3 linked regions of the Oryzias latipes genome follow. The protein of the gene in region 2 binds, or shares a complex with, the protein of the main gene of each other region. Links are inferred from orthologs where the notes say so. Each region holds a gene or a part of one and is shown on either strand. Other genes may lie near its edges.

Region 1 (3,653 bases), on a different chromosome or scaffold from region 2:
TTAAAAGGTAAAAATGTTCAAAACGTATTTTAGTATTATATACTGCCCTTTAACAGCAGGATGATTAAATCATTAAAATACATAAACTAACACTAAAAAAGTATATTTTTTGAAAGATTAAAAATATTTATTGGACACTAAAGATATCATTATGCTTCAGGCAGGATATGTTTTAACACATTTAAAACAATCCCTGGAAAATGAAGATCAGGACAAGTTTGGCGAGCTGTGAGACTCACCTAGCTGTGCCCACAGAGGGTTGTAGGGATGCGTTTTTGCCAGCGTGTCAACACTCTGGGATGAGTGTTTCTCCAGGAAGATCTTGATTGGAGGCTGACCATTTGGCATAACCGTGGGAACCCAGGCCAGGTGATTGGTCAGGACTGCGGTCAACAATGCAGGGAGGAATCTGGGGGACATCAGATGCATTGAGCACAATTCAGCACACACAAACATCGTCTCCTATTAGTTCACTTTTTTTAAAATTACTACTGTTCTCATGTTCCCTCTTATGAAACATGGTGTCGCCACACAGAAAATCTTGAGAGTTTCTCCTAAACCACATAACACATTCTGCTTTTGCAACACACGTACACACACTTGTGACAAACTCACACACTAACGGCATGATTCACTTCCCAGTTCTGACCACAAGTGTCTACTTCCCTTCCTGTCTCATGATTCAACCGATCACGAAAGTCTTGTTTCATCACGTGCCAGGACAGAGCTTCGACAGCCATCAAGTCCGCTGGGGTCAGGGAAACATGTCTCGACCCAAATGCACTTGGATGAAGTGTAATCAATATTGAAGTGCAGTATTGATTAAAAGTATATAGGTTATAGGTATATATACACTCATTAAACTTCATTAAATATATTACAGACTGAAAAACCCTTAGTGAAAACTTTCAGTAGATTTCCACTCTAAATAAACTGCAGCAAGTAAGTAAGGCATGTTCAATAAAAGCCCTGCTACCAATTCAGACGCTTACAATTAGTTTGACTTGGCTTTGTAACTTTGACAATAAGCGGTTAGAGACTGGCAGGCTTCTTATTCACAGCTCTTTGGAGACGGACCAAGGAAAGGCAGGAGATGCAGTCAGTCGCAGCAAATGAGGCTCGTTTAGTGTAATGAAGGCTTTTGTTGGGAGAGAATGAACAGTAAGTGTGTGAGTCTGCTTGTGTTTCTTTGCTGATGACAATGTTGAATTAAGACTAGCCCAGTAACATTTTTTATAATGCTGACATGTTTCTTTGATAAATGTTGCCACCTATTAGCTTAAAGAGAAGGACCAACATCGTCTGTGATGGTTTGAAAGTTAGTTTCTATGGTACCGTTCTTCCCATGAAAGACACTTCCGTGGCAGAAATAGAACCTAAAGGGGAAGGTGGTGTGAGTACAGGCAGAAACTCAACTGGTTCTTGGAGGCCTGCTCCATCAGCAGGGAGAGTTCCCTCATGAATTGACCGCAGAGCTGGTTCTTCTCCGAAGCGCCAGACATCATAGTCAACCAGACGGGCTCGGCCACGCGGGGCATTGTGTAGAGGTCACAGATGGTCATCCTGGAGATGAGGTATGGCGAGGGAGGAATGAAAGCAGGAGTGGGAATGGGGAGAGAAAATAAAAATGAACAAGAGAACAGAGGCGTTTTTGTTTCTGAAGACAAACAAAGGAGATCTCAGTTCACCCGCCAGGGTTCTGGGAGAGCCCTGCTGGGTGTTTGTGACAGTTAGGCAAACGTCCACGCAATCCTGCATGCACACACAGCGGCTGGGAATGTGCATATCTTTATGTGAATCGGCTCATCTGTTAAGGGGGCCTGGAGTTTCCATGGAGCATGGGGTGTTCCCGGAGTTCGTCTCGGCTAAGGTCCAAGCTTTCGCAAGGCGTCGGAACAATGTTCCAAATCCTTCAAAAACATACACCAGTAACTGACTTTAAAAACCTAAAACTAATCAAATCCAGTCGGAGCTGCTTGAGGAATCATTTTAATCTTGCTTTTCTCAGCAAATTCAGCAAAAATAAGGGACTGGACCAGCTGCTGACAGCCCTGTGATCTGTCACAAGACCAACGTCCTGATCATGGGGACTGATAATGCTAAACTGACTGACTTTGTCCAACTGGACAGTGCAGGAAATGTCAGACTGTAAACAGGTTGACCTCATGATCTCTGACCTATAAAGGAGCCACTGAATAATGCATACAAAGCAGCTGCAGGCTGTTGGAAAACATCTGTGCCACACAGTTTCAAAAATTAGGGCTGGTATTAATAAAAAAGAATGAAACCTGAATTCATGTTTCCTTAGAAAATGCTGAATTGATTCTTCAAATCTGTAAATTACTTGTCTTTAGATGTGTTGTGCAAAAAAATAGCTTTTCTGTTCCAATTCCTTGCTAGGTTGATAAAAATGTCCCCTTTGTTTCATTTATTTGTGTGAAAACATTTTATATAACCAAATAAAACTGATTTTATAATAGTCATTTAACAAAAAGAACAGATATTAAATAGGATATCAAAGGAACTGGCTCGGCAGCGACCCCCTCCTTTAATTGGGATGCAGGTTTTTAGTTTGTTTTTTTAAACGCAAAATAGAAATGTCTGGACTTCATGGCTTAGCATAAATTGATTTTTTAAAAATAGCATGTGACTTTAAAAAGCAAAGCAAATAAGATGCTGAAAGCTGTTTTTAGTTCAGTGGTTTCATTGCATAACCTTCAACCTGCCCTCCCCAGTTATGTCAGGGGAGTGACATTTAAGATCAGTTACAGTGATATTGTTGAAAACTGACCACTAAGTTTCAAGGTGGACATTTTTTCTCCTTCAACAAAAACACGTCTGTGAAAACCTGTAGTGAAGTTTTCTTAAGCTTTACAGTTTGAATTGGTGTCGTCCTGAGTTGGACAACCAAAACCGTCAGATCTGGGTTTGAAATATAATGAATTTATCAGTGTAGGGCAGAGTTACAGTGGCCACAGCTTGAACCCACAAGAATGAATAATCGTTACGTCCAACACACGTCTGTCTCTCAGTGTCTTTACGTCAGTACAGAAGATCAGACTTTGGATGCCAGCATCAAATGACCCGGATCCACGTCAGTCATTCCCATATTATCAACTTGTCTGAGGCTTTTTAAGGCACATTGAGCGCACGCTCCATGTCGCACATTCGTGCCATGACAAGCTTCCATTGTGAGGAAGTCTTGGCCAGCATTAAGTGAAGAGTGAAATCTAGTCTGAGCCTGCAGCAGCTGTTCAGGTGAACTTCACGCAGTAAATCTGTGACCTGACCTGTCGATTTTAAACGAGCAGCTATGGAGGGGCAACATTTGTGGCACTGTGGTTTACCAAGCATTGTTCTGCAAGTCATTATATAAAATCGTTCACATATTTAAGAAGTGTAGCTTTTGTTTTGAGATTTACAATCCAACTACAGGTTACCATCAGCAAAGAATTTCTTGTTTTCTGCTTTTAGATCAGCTGAAGAACAAGTATGGCTGCAGAGCTGCACGGTTTCTGGTTACTTCGCTCATAGGTGTTCACTGCGTGTCTGGTTTTGAAATACATGTAGTCAGAAGGGACAGGGCTTTAACCCTGGGGCATCAATCCACGACTCAGGACTCTCAGTTGTGCTGCAACACCCCATCATAACCC
Region 2 (2,854 bases):
CCACCTGTGCCACTCAGGGGACCGGTCTGTACGAGGGGCTGGACTGGCTGTCCAATGAGTTGTCCAAACGCTAAGCAGCTGACTGATGATGTCACCGTGTACAGAGGAAGAGGAGGAGCCTTCCGCCAGACTGTTCCTGTTTTTTTTTTCTTTTTTTAAATTATAGCTGTAGAAGGAAGTGATGTCACAGACTCTGAGGTTTCCCATCATCCTCTTCTTCTTCTGCCGGTGTTTGTTCTTTTATGCGCATGTTTTAAATCCAGATCATGTGACAGGATGTTTTGGGAGAGGGGTGGGGCTTGGGGCAGGTGAGAGCTACCTGGGCAGGTGACGAGTCATTCCACAGCCGGACCGGCGCCCCCGTCATTCCTGCCTAATGTGAAGAAGAGATGAAGAAGATGACGCAATAAAGCTTTTTCTTGTCACGCTGGTGGGCTTTGTTCTGAACCAGAACCTGCAGACTCTAGACCAGACCGGTCTCAGAACTGAATCTGGTTAAGGATCAGACAAACTTCAGGTTTTCGTATGTTTATTTGAATCAGTTTTCAAAACATTAAAACTTTATTTAAATGACAAGTTCTGACAGAAAATCTGGTTTCTTTGGGAGATGAAGATTTTATTTCAGAATCCAAAACATGCAGCAGAACCTTTGCAGGATCGGTCTTCCGCTCTGCCTTCAGAACCACTGTAGCTGACCTTGTTCTGTAAAGGTCCAGAACCTAAACGTAACTGGGTTCTGTCCAATGATCCAAACAGAACCGAAACTGTTTAGAGAACTTGCTCCAGTTCTGTGCGATTGGTGGGTCACATCAGTTCATTACTGAGCAAGTCGGTTCCGACTCGGTCCAAAGGTGGACTGTCGTCCTCTCCGCCTGGCCCCGCCTTCACGCTGTGACGTGCTCAGGATGCGCGTGCTGACGTTTGACCACAAACACCTTCTGACCGGAAACGGTCACCGCCAAGACGAAGTCCTCCAGAACCACTGCGAACAGAACCGAGTCAGGGCGGGGCATCACCAGCCGAGCTCACCTGTCAGGTGTGACTTACCGGACATGCGCTTAAACGGGACGTCCTCGGATCCGGGTGACCGGAAGTGGTCCGCAGATCCAGATAACCGGAAGCGGTTCGCGGTCCGGACCATCTGCATTATGACGCTCGCCGTGTGCTCGTCGTTCTCCAGCTCACCTGCCGACTGCACAGGTGAGCCTGCTCAGGTTCGGTTCGGTAACAAAGCTGGGCCCGGATACTACTTACCGCCAGAACTCCGTCCTCGCTGATCACCAAGTACCCGAGCTGGTCCGGGATCCGGTCCAGACCCGCCGTCAGCGCCGCCGTGCTCTGCACACAACACACGTGAGGTTCGGTGAGGTTCGGTTCGGAAAAGCGGCACGGAGACAGAGAGCGAACTCACCATTCTTCCGGAAGATGATCCTTCACGTGACTGCTGACGTAGGCTGGTGGGCGGTGCCTTTCAGGCCTTCCAAGCGACTTCCGGTCTGTTTCGCTACACTTCCTGTTTACTTAGTCAATAGTTTTCTTCTATCTGAGCATGTATTGATTATGGGGTAGATTCTATGTAGACGTTTGTAGCAGACGTCTCTCATCTTGTTATTAATTAATCATTTCTGATTCAGGGTCCAAACATTTTTCCAGGACGAGTCAGGAATAAATGTTCTCCAATAGAAAACAGCAGAGGAACAGAAATGACGTTTAGCTGAAACACGGATGATCTTGTTATTCTTTAGTTGAAACAAGATTTTCCAACATTAGTGTCACTTAGAGACATGAAGGGAATATTTGCATCAAGTACAGTATTTTTAAAGAGTTCACAGATTCAGTAGGAACGGCGTCCCCAGTAGGATATTATTGTCAAACCAATGATTGTAAAATAAAGATTTGTTCTTGTAAAGGATATCTCTGTTATTCCAAATAAAAAACTTATGAGGAGAAAAGTTGTGTTTATAGATAAGAAAGAAGAATCTGTGAAAAGCAGAGATTTTCACTGGGATTCTGTCGATATTATAATCACAAAGCAGAAGAAAATGGAGAAAAGCTACTTTAGCAAACATGTGACGAGGGAAAATATTCCAAATGGAGAGTGGATTTTTGAAATATCATCCAGTTTATTTTAAAAGTATTATTTAAAGTAGTAAGATCAAGAAAATTTAGGCCTCCTTTTTCATAGGAGTTCATTAATACAGATTTTTTAAATAATGAATCCGGTTTTTCCAGATGAAGTTTAGCAGCATTTGATCAATAGATTTCAGAGTCTGATTGTCCAGAATTAGTCAGTCTAGAAATCCCCTCTGCTGTGGAGAGTGAATCCTTCCTCAGACTCTGGTCTCTCTGAAGCCTTTGGTTCAAACGTTTTTTGGCTTCATCAATGAGGGGGAGGGAAATTTAATGAGCATCTTTCTAAACTACTTTTGGAAATATTAACGCCTAAATATGTTACAGTTTCTATTACAGGACTGTTGCAGATTCTAAAGCACAATCTTCAACAGAAAGAAGTTCTTATTTGTTCAGACTGAGACGTAGACCTGAGACATCAGAGACAGACTGGATACGGTTCAGAGATCAGGAAACCTGACTGCTGTCTCTGAAGAAGAGAGTCGTGTCATCAGCAAACTGACTCATTAACATTTCTTTATTAAGAACTGAGACGCCTTTTAATTTATGAATATTGATACAATCAGCAAGAGTTTGGGTAACTAGAAGAAAAAGATACGGTGAAATAGGACCCCCCCCCCCATCTGATTCCTCTATTGGGATTGAATCTGGGGGGGGGCATTTTTTAGTTTGACAGAACAGTTAGCATTAGCATACAGAGTTTTAACTGTATTACAGAAGAAAT
Region 3 (4,241 bases), on a different chromosome or scaffold from region 2:
GTTTTCTTAGCAAAGCATCATGGGACTTTATGTGACCTCCACCACCTGCCTCAGCTCCTCCATCAGAGGAGCCAGCTCCTTCTCCAGAGTCATGATGAGGCCTGAGGACAGAAAAGGAGGGTTTTTACAAAACGCCTCCCACTCGTGTGAAAAACCAGATGGATTCATTTTCACAAAGCTGGATGGCTCCTAACTGGAGTCTGTTGCTATGGAAACAATCTGACCCTACCCTGGTCAGGATCAGGTTTATCTGGAGAATCCCCTGACTGCATATGAGCACTGGACTGAATGTGACATCACACAGAGAAAATGGTTTACCTCCAGCTCCAACCACATGAAGTCAATTCACTCGCCATTTTTTCAGGATATATAAGCAGCGATAAGTCAATCTGAGTCCATGTTTCTATGGCAACCACTCTCACCAATCAGGAGTGAGCTTGTTGGAACTCCACACCCCTACCACCACTTAAAAGACATGAAATCTGTCGAATGGATACTCTTATCTGATTGGTCAGTTTATAACTTGAACCACAGAAAAATATGACGATCATAAAAAAAATGTATCCGAGTAAGAATACTTACTCGGATCAAAAGACTGAGTAACAGCTGTCTATTTCTCTGTAGGATTAGGTACTTCCTGTTTGGAACGCCAGGGGGGGAGGGCTCACTCTAGGTTTTGATTAGGCCCCTCCCACCTGAGTCTGCAGGATGGGTCAGACTCACAGGATTCATCTTTTGTCAGAAGGGGTTTGACAAGAACTTTTTTTCTTCTTTTCACTAAATATAATCCAGAACATTCCTGGAGATTCCCGTCAGACTAAATGATCTGAAATGTCGGGTTTTTTCTCAGATAAACTTCAACTTCTTGGCTCTTGAGCCGTATTTTAAATGCCAGTATTACCACATTGCAACATATTTTGGACGATGATGCTGAGTCACTTTCTCTGCTTTCTTTCATTTGGATGATGAAAAGGCCTCAGGTAAAAGTTTTTGCGTTTCCATGGCGATATTTCTCCTTCCCCACGATGCAGCAATAAGCTACACACGAACAGCGGGGTGCACGGAGATGAAGACTGAGATCATTTTAAGACACGCTCTGTTCAGAGAACATCAAACAGACTGCAGATAACCAGTGGGCGGGGCTCCTCAGACACGCCTCCTCATCTCACCTGTGTTGGCGCTGCTGCTGGCGATGAAGCTGACGACCAGCGGCAGGCGGTTAAACTGCATGATCTGTCGAGCAGAGACAGCAGACGGGTCACAAAGGCAGAACCAGAGCAGAGTCTGGTTACCATGGAGATTGGCCGGGTTAGGCTGGTTCAGAGCAGAAGGAATCCATCAGAGTGATTTGGTTTTTTTTTTTACTTAGCAATAAAAAAAACCCAAATATTTTCACTTCTCTGATTTTTCTTAAAAAAACTCAGGAAAAAGTTCAGCTGGCTTAACAAATCATGAAAAACAAAAGAAGACCAACAGATTCTGAGATTTTCCTCTGCTGGACGTTTTGTCTGCTCCATCAGAGGATAACGTTTGCAGACTTTTCTCCTCTCTGTCCCAGCAGAAGTTCTTCTTTACTCTCAGAACCCTCTGACATTTACAGAACCTGCTCTAGTGCTTCTGTTGTGATCCGACTCCCATGGATCATCTCATTTCAGTCCGTCTCACTCTGCTTTTATGTGAGGCTATTCTCTTAATCCCACCCCCAAAAGTTTACAAACAGGAAGTTTGTTACTATAAGAGACGATGGAGACTAGAGTCTGGTTCTGGATCTGACCCGGACCGGACACAAACTGGCAGGAACCGGATGAAGCGAGCGCGGGTGAAAGGCGCCGGTGTTCCGGCTGCCACGCCCCCACGCGGTGATGCTGGGAGGGGTCACCTGGTAGGTGTTGTAGTAGCAGATGATGCTCTTGTTCTTGGAGAGGCCCAGCTTGCTCCCCTGATCCGTGGCCAGAGCGAACGTGGACAGGAAGCCCGGTCTGAGCGCGTGCACCGGAACGCTGTCGTTGGCAACTGGAGGAAAACAAGCAGGCGTGTTAGGATGAGGACTTCCTGCTGGTGAGCGGTGCGTTCAAAGACCAGGGCCAGAAAAAAAAGTCAGAAAAATCCCCAACAGTTTGACCCCTAAAATGCAGATGAATGAGTCTTTTAGATCCATTTTCTGCTCTACTTTGGTGACTTCTAACCTAAACTCGTACGAGTGGAGCCAGAGCTGAGTCACCCCAAACCATGAAACTACTGCCACAACAAGAAGCTGCTGAGGCTGAGGATAAAGCGTTCCTGTTGAGTAGCAGGTTGGCCCTGAGGCCAAAAGTATTTCTAATAAGTTATTAAAACACAGTTTATTGGAACAGAAAACCCGAAACAGAAGAAGTCTCACCTTTGATTACCGGGACGCCGTCTCGGTCCGTCACCACGATAGCGTGAAGCCCGTCAACACTGAGGACACAGAAAACTACTATTTACATGTGATATAAGATACAAAAACTCTTTTTTGAGAAAAGAGATTTGATTTATAATACAGATTTTTTTTTCTTGTTATATAGTTAAAGTAAATCACTTTGTGCAATAACAATAAGGGACAAAAGCCTCACCTCTGCATCTGTTTGTACAGGAACCTCTTCAGATCCTGCAGACGGGAGCATAAAGAGTTAAGGAGCAACCTCAGAAACAGTCAAGAACGTGGACGTCTGTGAGCTTTAGAGCTTCAAACCGTCAGAGAAGATCCTGGTCTCCCCACCACCATTTTCACCCAGCATTACTGACAATAGTGACCGAGTAACCGCTGTTAATTTCTCCAAAGAAGTCTATGGGATTCTGGCTTCTTGGAGCCAACAGGTACTTCCTGTTTGGACAGCCAGGGGGAGGAGTCACCCAGTCTAGTTCTCATAAACAGTTAATGGAAAAATGTCACGTGACCTCTGTAGAGCGTCTGTTTTTAACACAACATATCCACATGTATAGAACAGAAAGAAATAAAGATGAAAATTAGGACTGTAGTCTAATACAAATGTAATATAAAACTAAGGGTTGTTACACAGCTTATCTGTTTTGCACTTTTGTTTTAATAAACTTTAGTGATTAAAAAAAACATATCTCTCTCTAAAATTTATTAAGTAATGGTTTGATTTTTTTTTAAGAATTTGCTGTTGTGAATGAAACATTAATACAATATTAAATGCCAAATGAAATAATTTATCACCTACAAACCATCCCACATGATACTGTGTGTTTTTGTAATTAGAAGAGAATAGTGAACTTTGAGCATCTTCCCAAAAACTAAAGAGTTTTTAGTGAAGCCTAACAGAACAGGAGGTGCTAAAGGAGGACAGACAGACTCACGTCCGCCATGGCAGCTCCGAGGACCCAAGCCGGTTCCGTCACAGGAAGTCAGGAGAACCGCCGGCTCCGAATCCAAAACACGACGAGCCCGTCCGGAGCGTTTCCACAGTGAGCTCGGTCCTCTGAACGTTTAAACAAACAATCAGCTGATGCTACCACCGTGAATTTCCAAAGAGCTGCAGTCACGTGACGCTTCTTCTTCGCTGTCACGTGACGCTTCTTCTTCGCTGTTTTAAACTGCCGTGTGCTCTCTGCTCCCCCTGCTGGTGGTCAGACGTCATGGTTCATCCATGGTCAAACCAAGTCTAATGTTTTTTGTCTTCTTTTGACTGGGAAAAATGTAGATAGAAAATATATTAGAACCTCCATCATAGTTCTGGACTAAGTGAAGATTCTAACATTACTTACAACTGATCGAAATGTGCTGGCAACATATTTCAATAAAGTTGACTAAAACTTTATTTTCCAATTATTTTGAATTGGAAATTTCTTTTAAACTTATTCTAAACACAGCTAAAATATTTCGCAGCTACTGCCACCTACAAGAAAATATTAGTATTTGGTCTCCAATCAGATACAATATATTGATTTATTTGTCCGGTATTGTAACATCCCTTATTATAGATTATTATACTGTCTTGCTGTCCCTGCTGAAAGCCCGTCGTCAGTCCATCCATCAGTAACATTTGCCCAATAAAAGTCATTAGTTCTTTTTTCAGCAGAGCTGCCTCCTCCAGATCGGTTGTTTCTTTCTGTGTGGATTGCTCAGGTGGGTGTCGTCACCTCCAGGGTCCTTTGTTTCCAGGACATTCCAGGCACTGCAGCTCAGGCAGGAGAAGGTTTCTGATCATGTTCTTCAGAACAGGTGAGACGTGAACTAAATCTTCAAACGTTCATCT

Evidence for each region.
Region 1: lamtor4 (region 2) and fnip1 share a complex: the UniProt entries of both Homo sapiens proteins name them as parts of the lysosomal folliculin complex. The link is inferred for Oryzias latipes from reciprocal best matches to the Homo sapiens genes LAMTOR4 and FNIP1.
Region 3: lamtor4 (region 2) and lamtor3 share a complex: the UniProt entries of both Homo sapiens proteins name them as parts of the ragulator complex. The link is inferred for Oryzias latipes from reciprocal best matches to the Homo sapiens genes LAMTOR4 and LAMTOR3.

Annotation. Positions count from the first base shown.
Region 1 is NC_019872.2:4,893,546-4,897,198, forward strand, and holds part of fnip1 (folliculin-interacting protein 1), read right to left. Parts: intron 1,564-3,653; coding exon 1,417-1,563; intron 410-1,416; coding exon 240-409; intron 1-239. UniProt on the Homo sapiens protein: Binding partner of the GTPase-activating protein FLCN: involved in the cellular response to amino acid availability by regulating the non-canonical mTORC1 signaling cascade controlling the MiT/TFE factors TFEB and TFE3.
Region 2 is NC_019881.2:23,887,951-23,890,804, reverse strand, and holds lamtor4 (ragulator complex protein LAMTOR4), read right to left. Parts: upstream 1,521-2,854; 5' UTR 1,415-1,520; coding exon 1,412-1,414; intron 1,339-1,411; coding exon 1,255-1,338; intron 1,193-1,254; coding exon 1,048-1,192; intron 983-1,047; coding exon 885-982; 3' UTR 524-884; downstream 1-523. Other genes in the region: ADP-ribosylation factor 4, read left to right, coding at 1-74. UniProt on the Homo sapiens protein: As part of the Ragulator complex it is involved in amino acid sensing and activation of mTORC1, a signaling complex promoting cell growth in response to growth factors, energy levels, and amino acids.
Region 3 is NC_019880.2:24,349,305-24,353,545, reverse strand, and holds the start of lamtor3 (ragulator complex protein LAMTOR3), read right to left. Parts: upstream 2,813-4,241; 5' UTR 2,747-2,812; coding exon 2,714-2,746; intron 2,630-2,713; coding exon 2,595-2,629; intron 2,440-2,594; coding exon 2,381-2,439; intron 2,014-2,380; coding exon 1,880-2,013; intron 1,234-1,879; coding exon 1,170-1,233; intron 102-1,169; coding exon 28-101; 3' UTR 1-27. UniProt on the Homo sapiens protein: As part of the Ragulator complex it is involved in amino acid sensing and activation of mTORC1, a signaling complex promoting cell growth in response to growth factors, energy levels, and amino acids.